2 linked regions of the Drosophila melanogaster genome follow. The protein of the gene in region 2 interacts with the protein of the main gene of each other region in a pairwise test. Each region holds a gene or a part of one and is shown on either strand. Other genes may lie near its edges.

Evidence for each region. The genes of interacting proteins can lie anywhere in the genome.
Region 1: the proteins of prg (region 2) and Stacl interact in a two-hybrid assay, tested with the Drosophila melanogaster proteins (one large-scale study listed by BioGRID).

Annotation. Positions count from the first base shown.
Region 1 is NT_033778.4:15,399,408-15,404,781, forward strand, and holds the start of Stacl (Stac-like), read left to right. Parts: upstream 1-1,688; 5' UTR 1,689-2,976; intron 2,977-5,288; exon of another isoform or gene 5,289-5,374.
Region 2 is NT_033779.5:8,461,480-8,467,194, forward strand, and holds prg (piragua), read left to right. Parts: upstream 1-3,008; 5' UTR 3,009-3,130; coding exon 3,131-3,295; intron 3,296-3,353; coding exon 3,354-4,865; 3' UTR 4,866-5,215; downstream 5,216-5,715. UniProt on the Drosophila melanogaster protein: May be involved in transcriptional regulation. The function of this protein is unclear.

The DNA.
Region 1 (5,374 bases), on a different chromosome or scaffold from region 2:
TTGAGAGTAGAGCAGGACCACAATTTACTGATGGAATTTTTACACAAGTTATTTATTTTGTTTCTATTGCTGGCCGCTTCATTCATGACGACTTCATTTACTTGACGAATGTGCCCGTGCAGGACGAAGGATCCACGCTGCTGGCTTTATTAATATTTATAAGTTGGACTCTCTAGCAGGAGCTTAGCCAAAGCCGCAATAATTCCCCCGACCACGCAATCAAAATCAACCCTCTTGGAAATTCCGATGGCTGGCTGGAGACAGCCACTTGGTTCGCTTAACATTTTCAATTTCAATCTAATCTAAATTACATGATATGCGCACAATTTGAACGCTAATGAGCAAGGAATTTGTGGTAAGATGGTGGCGGAGCAACGCTGCGTATGCGCAACATATTGCGTGTGAATTTTAATTAAAAACTTTTCTCACTTTCCAACCGAGATAATCTCTGTCCCACCGCCTTTTCCTCGAAATCTCCCACTGCGAATCGGATGTCCTTTCGTGTTGGCTGCTGTTGTTGCTGTTGCTTCGATTGCATCGATTTTCTGCTAACTTTGAACGGTATTTGAAAGGAGCTTAAGCTTGTTTCTTTTATTTGCGCTACCTTCGCGCGAAACCCGATTCCATGGGCAGCAAACAGGACCAGGTTGGCTAACAAATTCTTGGAGCTATTCAGCGGTTAGCGGTTGGGGTAAACAACTTCTATAATCACTGTAATGCGATCAAGCATAAAGATGGCTCTAGCTGACCGTTTATTTAGATGGGTAAACGGGTAATCCTATTTTTAGCCATGTTTATTAGACGAGAACAGCTTCTTTCACTAATGCGATTTAAAGAAAGCCTAATTTTTTAAAATAACTATACTTAATTAGTTGCAATCTCTTTCACATTTACATCACCCCTGCTAAGTAGAGGGTATGTGGTAGTCGAAGAACTCGTCTATAGCGCCCTCCCTGATTGTTGTAAAGTTGTAATAATAGTAATAAGTTAAAATATGTTGGTAGAGGATTTCAATGAGGTATTTTATTTCAATAAAATTCCGCTTAGAACATTCACCATTCGTTGCATTCCGTTCGCCCTCTAACCTGTTAACTTGGTTTTAATTTACACTTAATTACGTGCATTGCCGTGGCAAAAGTGCAACAGATTGCTTCGTGGATTGCTTCATTAATTGTCCTCTGTTGTGGCAACTACCATCCTGCCGCATCTCCCCTCTAATAACACATTACCAAGCTGCTGGTCCTGCTATTTAATGGCCTCACATGTGTCGGGAGATAGGGACAAAAATTAACCTTTGACCTGAATGTGTACGGTATCGCGTCACTTGGCTGTGCAAACAAATTGTTTCACGTCAAAAAGTTCCATTATTCGATTATGAGCCGGTCGAATAATACATTAGTAATGCAATTAATTAGTATATAAAGAATTCCGTATTCACACCGCCATCGGCACCAAATGATTAACTTCCATGGCAATTGTTTTGCTTAGGGCCCAACCACTTGCTTGATTCCCTTCCCATAACTGCTCTTTTCTGGCCAAGAGCACCTGCCCGCTCTTTGGAATTCCCAGTTGCTTTCTCTTCGTTTGCCCACGCAGCCGCATCAAGCTATTCCGAAAATAAAGCAGCCGACTTGTGGACGTTGCGTATACGCAGTGTTGTCGCCGCCGTTCGTTTGGAACCACTGTTCAGTCGCTAGCTGGACGTGATGTTGGCCGGAAGAGCAGCACGGCAAACAAATAAAGACTTAGCCAAAACAGCTGAACAATAGCTGAGCTGAACTGAACTCCAGGCCGTAACAAGTGTGGCAGTAGTTAGGTGTTCGTGCCGCTGAAACAACAAGTATCCAGCACAGTACTTTCTATTTCGGTTAGTCGGTCGGTCGGTTGGTCGTTTGGTCGGTTTGTCCGAGTGTGTGCGTGTTGGCCACCTAAGTCCTGGTGCGTGCGTGTGTGTGCGCGCTAACTGTGTTTTTGGATGCAAATCAAAGCGCAGCTCACCTGAAAAGTATGCTTTAAATTTTTACTATCGCCACTCCGCGTGTGTACTTGTAACTCTGAAAAGTTTCTGTTTCTGTGTTTATTTGACTACCGCGGCGCATTTACATAAGTAAACTTTGGCATGCGCGCGGCCTGCTGCCGCTGATGTAGATGTAACGACGTCGACGTTGGCACTGAATAATTAATGCAATCAAGCAATTTGAACCCGTTCCGCCGTGGAGTGTGCCTGGGCCAGTGCCACAACGGTTTCAACGTGACCATAATGAGAGCTCCCCAAGCTACAAGTCACTAAGTGTGCCCGAAAAGCCCAATAACACAAAGAGATAACCTGACCAAAATTCGCAACAAAAAAAAAAAAAAAATACAACACACAAGAAGCCTGAGGAACAAGGAGGGAATACACTATATTTTTCGACAGAACTATAGCTATACTATACCATATTAACAAGAGAGAGTCTACTATATATGTACTTACTTAGTGCTAACTGACCACGCATATTCCAATCATAAATTATCGTGATAAAAATTCTTAGGCGCTGAAAGCCAATTTCAATTTTCACCCAAAAACGATAGAAGAAGAAAAGCCCCTGAAAGAGAAGAGAGAGAGAGAGAGGGATATACGCTGTCTGCAGACCAACAAATTACTAATAATAATTTTTAGATTTAAACGACAACAAAAACGAGACTAACAAACATCTGCTGGCCACACAAGGAACGTATACAAATAAATGCGGGTATATAGCAAAATGTAGACAGCTTGGCAAATATATTTCGATTAAAATATATACCAAATTGAACTGGACAGAGCTTTGACACGAAAACCAAATCGTTTGCCAAGTGAATTTTATGAAATTCGCCTGATTATTGCGGCAACAATAGAGATAAGATTCGGAATCAGAGGAAAAGCGTTTAAGTGAATGGGAAAAAGCAGCCAACAGGTTGTCGACGACAGATAAGGCCAACATTTTCTCGAAATTGGTAAGTTGAAATCACAGCAGTGTAGAACGAATGAAAAATAATGAATGTGGCACTTCATTTCTACCACTTGGAAGGATAGTCTGATTTAGAAGTTTATTAAATGGTATGCTAAGTTTTGTCAATGATTTTATTTTGCTAAGAGCTTTGCCATCAACTAATAAAGGAGATTAAGCTTTGAAAACTTGATTGAAAATGAATTTGGGTTTCTGTGGAAGCTTAAGTTTTGCCAAAGTGAAAGAAACTACTGCAAGTTTTGAATAAACTAAATAATTTCTTTAGCAAAGTTAAAGTTTGACAAAAATCATTACAAACTAAAATGGTCATTTGGCTACTTTTAAAGCAATTTTCTTAATTGCATATATTTCGTGTTGGCAGAGTGCATTTAAAATTCTTTTTAAGTTTACTCACCTCACAATTCCCAAATCTGTATCCATTAATTAAGTGCAACTACTTACAGCTGAGAAATGTGATTAAAAGAATGCTATGCAGTTAAGAAATTAAAGTGTCATTGGTGACTTTCTTCACTCCTGCAAGTTCGTCGCTTTTTGCAAAGGTCCTGCGCACGGCTGCCCAATTCCTCCATCCATTATCCACGTAATCCCACTCGTCACGAGATTCCATCCGTCAAATCCCATTCCCGCCCAGCAGCAACATGTAAATGCTCCTGTAGTTCCGGAACATATGTGTACGAAATGAAAAGATCCCAAGGAGTAAACTGTAAACTGTAAAAATACTGACCATGTCGCAAAGTGCCATAAACAATTTTACAACATTTTTGCTGTCATAAGATTAAATGTGCATAAGCTGGAGGAGGGGCAAGGACAAGAAGAGCGCACTCCTCCGCAGGAGGATGAAAAAAAAAATGGAAAGTGCTAGGGAAAAAAAGGAGAAAGCTGTAGGAAAAGCTGGGCAATAGAGCACTGCGATGGGCGAAAGCGAAACAAAAGCAATAACTATAAAACAAACACGACAATTCGCTTCAACTTTGGGGCTACAAAAAATGGCTGAACACACACAGACAGAGGCAAACCGACTTTATGTGAAGAAAGAAAACAACGCTGAAGAACAACGGAGACTCACAGATACGAATACACTGGGTGAAAACTGAATGATTTAAATTACACAATAAAAGTATTGATTTAAGAGTGCTGGGCTCCGGTACACTGCAAGATAGGTTAGACAATGTAAACTTTAAAATATTTAAGATTTGGAAACTCCTTGGGGTTTAAAGGAATATTATATGGAGAGTATTTATGTTTTTCTCTGTAATATGTCTTGCATCGCTTTGGATTTTCTCACTTGAAGGACCCCACTTCGATTCCAGCACTTTTACTCGCGGTGTACACATACACAAGCCCATGTGCATTCATTCTGAGCTCCTTTTTTATGGCCGCTGGCGGTGGGTGTTCGTTGGTATGGTTTTGTTGAGGGTCGACTGGGCTATAAAGGTATGCAGCAGGCAGCAGACGACAGCATCCAATTACAAAGTGAATATTTCGAGACTTGTTGGTTTGACTCCCGCCTTTACGCTCGGGCAGCATATCTCGGTTTCCTTCCATGTTGACCTTAACATTTATTTCATCTGCTCTCTTCTCGGCTTTGTGTGGCAGCCTTAAAGTGACTTTCAAGTTTTTGGTACCGCCGTTACTGTCGCTGACCTGATTCTGATTTCTTCTTTAGTTGCACGAAAACGAGACCACCGAAAACACCGGGTCCATTCCCAAATGAAAACATTTTACGGGGAAGCCCCCACGGAGAGTGGTGTTAGTAGGAGGTCCTTGGGGGGAATAATGAGGTACGCGACCGTGCCCACTTGAGCACGTTCTACATGAACTGCTGGCCCAGCCGGCAATGGTGATGATGGCATGCTAATAACGTCCAACGACCACCTTCCTGAATGGCCAAAATACAAAAAATAAAAAAAGAAAACAAAAACGCTAAAAAACTGAGAAAACGACCAACATGTTTCGCCACGCTTTCGCATTTATACATGGCCTGTCATTTTAACATTATCCGCGCGAAAACCCCCCGATAGCTATCGGTGCGGTCCTGCTGCTATTTGACTCCGGGACTTTCCCCAAAATTTCGAGGGCCAACAAGTGTCCGCTTCAATGTTTGGGCAGCTGTGTGAAATTTAATTAGATTTACGACGGCTTTGTCCATCAAACACTGCCCGCTCACCCGTGGCGTATACGCAATGTCGCCATGCTGGGAGGTGGAGCACACACACAGGAAGCAATCACCTGCTGACCAACAAAGAGCACATTGTCCCCTCCTTTTGTGCCATGATTTTTGGACACTTTGTATGCCACGCGACATGTGTCAGGTGGGTTTAGTTCCAGCTTGGCTTTTGGTTCATTTCAAAAAAAAAAAAAAGTAGGAAGGAAGGATGGAGAAT
Region 2 (5,715 bases):
CTTTAAGATGCGATTCTCATGTCACCTATTTAAACCGAAGATATTTCCAAATAAAATCAGTTTCTTACAAAAACTCAACGAGTAAAGTCTTCTTATTTGGGATTTTACAAGCGCTGAGATCTAATGGTTATGCCATTTTCCTTGGATTTTCATTGATTTTTTGTGTAACGCTTGTGAATGTCACATGTTCCTCCGAAAGCATATTATAATTTCCAACTTTGTACTTAATTTGCACGGCAATATTAGATTTTCGATATTGCGGCTCAGTAATTGGTCATAAATGGCTTATGTTATTAGTTCTGCAGAAAACAAGAGCTTTGCGATAATATTTCCACGTATTTATCGTAGTTTATACCCCTGCGCTTACTGGGTTCTTGGTACACAACGAAAAATAAACAATGATATGGGAAACTACATTTATTGTAAGAGAAATATTCAGCTCCATTTGTGGAATTGATTTTACTGTGATTATTCTAGAGGGTTGAATGACAAGAAAATTACCGACATGGTTTTACAGCCTACAAGTTACTGGATTGCAAATGAAGAAATTTTAGAAAAACACTTTGTACTCATACGGGTTAAGTTTTAAATTTACATTTCTGACAGTGTGCTAAAATCAATTTATCTACTGCACATGTTTGACTTTTTGTTTACAATGTCCACCGTCATCGCCTGCTTTTAATATTGCGAAGGGGGTAAATGGTTTGACACCCATTATCAGTATCAGTTCGACGCACGACAATCTCAGCGAAGCGTTCGGTGTGCGACAGCGGAACATCGATTCATTCAGGCAGCATAAGCTTTAGGCTACTGATAAGATTGTGGCATGATTTCACGCTGGGAAACTATGGGCATGGTTTTGTTACACAGTTGCTACGCATGTGACGCGGCCGCGGAAATTAACTTAAGTCCGGACATGAGGTCTGGACCTCCCCCACAGCCACCAATTGCCGTTCAGGTCAATTTAACGTCAGCGTTTCAAGTCAAGTTCAAAGTCAACGGGGAGAGTGATTCTAAGCTGTAGAACTAGACCTAGCTTGAGTCACGGCACCGATTCATTTGATCTGCTGATTGGACTTTCCTCATCGAATGATCATTGCCGAGCACTTAATTGCCGAGTGGAATGTTTAGGACAGCAATCTTCAGTTGTTTTTCATTGTACACAAAATTGGAAGTCACTCTCATGTGGCCGGCAAATGGCATGTTCCCTATGTTTAGGGGTAATTGTATGCAAGTGTAAATATTAAGTTAGCAGAAGTCTCGTAGGGTAAGGATATTTACTAATTCGGTGTGGTGATATCATATAGATTTGCTTCTAGGGACTTTAATCAGACCATTAAGCTCGAATGCAATCTTTGCGCTTATTTCACTTAAGCAATTATATTTTATCTTTATGTTCAAACTTTTTAGGGCAGATAGTGCATACGCTAGAGTGCTTTCGTTCTACTCACTACTAACTCACTACAAATCACTACCTAAATAGGCTAATAGACGCATTTTAAAGACCCCAATTTCGGTAAATTCATGAAATTATAAATTCTCTTTTTTATAGTCCTATTTATGAATTATAAATGCACAAATTCATTTTCATACGCGCAACGGCAACTGTGAAAAGTGAGGAATCCCAATAACCAAAAATTAACAGGGACTTGGTGGCAGAAAATTTAACACTCATGAGAACTACAGGGTGCGAGGGCAAAGCTTGGGTTAACAGGATGATAGGTACACAGAAAAAAAAAACTATTCCATTGAAATTTGCGATCATCATTCATACGGTGTTTATGTTTTTGGAGTAGTTGATTCAAAATTGTAAAAAAAAAACCCTGTGTTTCCTTTAGCAATGTGGTCCAATCAGTTCATCATTTTATGCATATAATCTAAATAATAAAATTGAACCTGATTACACATCAAAATCAAATTTCTCTCCGTGCATCGGGGGAGAGAACAATAAATGTACACGGGGTTGCTGTTGCTTTTATTCCTTAAGGACGGGAATAACACACTAACCGCATGGGAGAGAAAAGAAGTGGAAGAGGGGAGGTGGGTAGGGAAAAGGAGCGAAAGAAGGAGAAGCGGCAGGAGCATAATAAAGACAAAAAGTACGTGGGTGGAAAACAACAAATACAGCCCAAATTGTATAAACTCACGGAACAGTTATTTCCCTCTATGGGTGGAAAATTGTTGCTGCTAATTCCCTTGCTGCTGTTGTTGTTGTTGTTGTTGCCGCTGCTGCGTAGGCGTAACAGTTGTTTTGCCGATGTGTGTGTGTGTGTTCTAGTATAATTTGCAGCATCTGCAGTGCAATAAATTCCACTAAACGAACATTAGCCACTTTCAATAGAACCAAAAATCTCACTGCAATTAAGCAATAACCGCGCAAGCAATCAATCCCGATTAGTTAAAGGAATATACGCGCGTACGCACAGATTTTTAAACAATCATCCGCTTTCGCCGAAAGAGTGCCGGCACTCGAAAAATACCTCCGCTTTAATCAAGAGTCCGCGGGCAATTGAAAAAGCTCTCGCTTCGCGTGTTCACGGCGTGTACCTACATAGGTACGCATCAATTAGGTACCTGCCGCCCACTGCTTTAATCGTAAGTGCATTTCTGATTTAAAAGTGTGACACGAGCCTTATAAGTCTTATAATTTATATTTTATGCAAACAGCTTTACAAATTTTTAATGTGTAGAAAGAAACTGCGTTTTATTGAATTTGAGCATCATCAAACTTCAACCCCAAAGAATTACACATAAGTAGTTTCGTTTTTGCTACCAAAGATGCTGACGTTTATTTTGCGTATTAGATATGGCTTTGTTACAATTTTAGTAAAAGTATTTTAAAATGGAAAGGTACAAATCTGAACTTTAATAAAACACAAAATTGTTTAATTTAAAAACTTCAAATATTCAAAAATTCCTATAATTCAATTAAGTAACCCACTGTGCAGCGGCTTATCGATTTCCTCCGACAATCGATTGGACCATGTTGTTTAATTTCGCGACATATCGATACTATCGTGGTAGATTGGCCATTGACCAACGCGTTTTATTTGCTACCGGTGTGGCTTTTGTTTGCTTAAACAATTGGATAATTTATTGCAATCCCGGCTTAAATGCATATGATTGAAGAATGCATACATCGGATATCAGCATGACCCAGGATCAGGATGTGAGCACTTGTCGCCTGTGCCACCATAATACGGATCCCAACTCGCTAAACATTTTCGATGACACCGTGCAGTTTTGCAAGGATGTGTCCATTGCAGAGGTTTCCAAGAGTCTCTGGAGCGTTCAGGTGAGTGGGCCATTTATAATCCATGGAAAAAGTGCATGAATAACTTCTCCACCTACAGTACGATCGCAACGAATGTTTGTCGGAGCTCATTTGCTCAAGGTGTCTGGAGATCCTCGAAGAGGCATTCGAGCTGCGAAAAGGAATGCAGGAGCGGGAACAGTCCCTGCAGGAGCAGCTGAAGGAGATGATTAAAGATCATCCGAAGCACCGTCCAGGCCTGAATGGCAACCCCGGAGTATTCGTACCCGAGGAGGGCTGCATTATTGTGGAAGTTGATCCAGAGAATCTGGCAGAGAGCAGTGAAGAGGAATTCGCACTCGGCTCCGATGGGGAGTACGAAAACTATGACGACGATGATGAGGAGGAGGAGGAAGACTACGATGAGGAGGACGAGGAAGATGGCCAGAACGGCGAAGACGTCGACATGCCACTGGGCATGGATGCGGCCCAGATGGCGGCTCAACAGTCCGTTGCCAACAACGCCAACACCACGGAGGCACGGCCAAAACGAGCGTTCCTCTGTCAATACTGTGATCTTGGGTTCACTCTGCCCGCCGAGTGTCAAGAGCACGAGCTGGCTGCACACGATCCCAACGCACCGTACTGCTGCAACTTTTGCAACATCAAGCTGGTTACCCGGCCTGCTTTGATTTCGCACATAAAGACACTGCATGATCCGGACCGTCCGTATGTGTGTGCTCACTGTCGGAAGGGTTTTGTGCGCCGCTCCGATCTTAAAAAGCACACAATCGTGCACACTGGCGTGAGGCCCTTCACATGCAACGTTTGCTCCAAGAGTTTCTCGCGGAATACAAATCTGACCAAGCACATGCGCATTCATAGCGGTGTCAAGCCCTTTGTTTGCCAGCAGTGTCCGCGATCCTTCCAGACGGCTGTGGAAATGATGCGCCACACACGTTCGCACGGAGAGGTAAAGGCTTTCCAATGTGGACGCTGTCCCTACTCGTTTTCGCGCAGGGATAAGCTAATAGCCCACCAGCAAGTCCATACCAGGCGGGACATGGAGCAGCAGCAGCAAATGGGTCTAATTCCCCCGATGGAGGGTGATCTGCAGCAGCAGGCGTTGCAGGCTAAACAAAAGGCTGCCGCACAAACCAAAAACTCACGCTATTACCACTGTGATGTCTGCGATCGAACTTTCCAACGGGAGAGGGACCTGCAACGCCATCAAGCTCTTCACATGGACTCGCTGTTCGCCTGCAAGACATGTAATCAAGGTTTCAACCGACGCGAGCAACTGCAGCGCCATGAGCTAGAGGCTCATGGTCCCAGCTTTACGTGCGGAATCTGTTGCATTAGCTTCCTGCATCAAATTGAGCTGGAGAATCACCTCAAAGTCCATCAGTTGCAGCACAAGATGGCCCAGCGGGCTCAAGAGGCTGCTATTTTACCCCTAAAAATGGCCGAAAAGGCTCCAGTGGCTATGACGGCTCCGCTAGTTCAGGATCCCCAGCTAGTGCGTCCCTCGGCAGCGGAACTGTCGTTCTACAGCAACATGATTCCCACAATGAATCTGGGCTTCTACAGCGAGACTCGTCCCGAGGAATAGAACAACATATTTACATGTTTAATAAGCTTAGTTGATAGGTCGGAAAAGTTTTGTAGGTCAAGGCTGTTTTAGTCGTTCAGGTCAACATAGAATCCATTGGTGTTAATGAATCTGTATAGTTTAAGTCATCTGACTATTGTCTGCCAAAATGTAGCTTAGTGGTTTTTAATAAAAGGCCAAATCTGAAACGGTTTTCTTCGAGATCGTATGACTTTGTGAAGATATTATTTTTCATAAGATATTAAAGAAAGTTTTCTGCTCTATAAAAAACTTCTTAAAGTTAAGTTATGTTAAACCTATTTAAAGTAGGTTTACTTAATATATAAATAAAATATCAAGTAAGGTATTTGAACATTTTGTATTAGCAGTCGTCTCAGACCAACATGTTGCGTGCAACAAGTTGCACGTTGTCCGATACGAAGAAGGTCTTCTCCGAAATCTTCAGAGCAACTGCACCGCTGCAGATTCTTTCTTGAGTTCGCCCCGTACGGTAGTGCCTCTCGACCAGCGCTCTCGGATCTTGATCGCCTCGAAATCTCGTAATCGCCTCGAAGTGCGCGTAGTGAATTGTGCTGGTGCTGACAGTGTAACGTAACGTTTGATAGAATAATAAATAATAAGTATTGGAGTGGGAGATCCGCAAAGAAATGTGGCCAAGCTACCATAAATAAAGTGCGGATTTCAAACGAGACGATAAATCTATTCCCGAAACGGGCACGCAATCGAGGGAATACGAATCCACCTTACGGTTCGCTTGGTTTTGGTTAGGTTCAGGTTCCGCTGAGAGCGGTAAGTACGCAATTACCTTCGCCATTGCCAAGGGTCACTTCGCAGGCGATTTATGTGTATG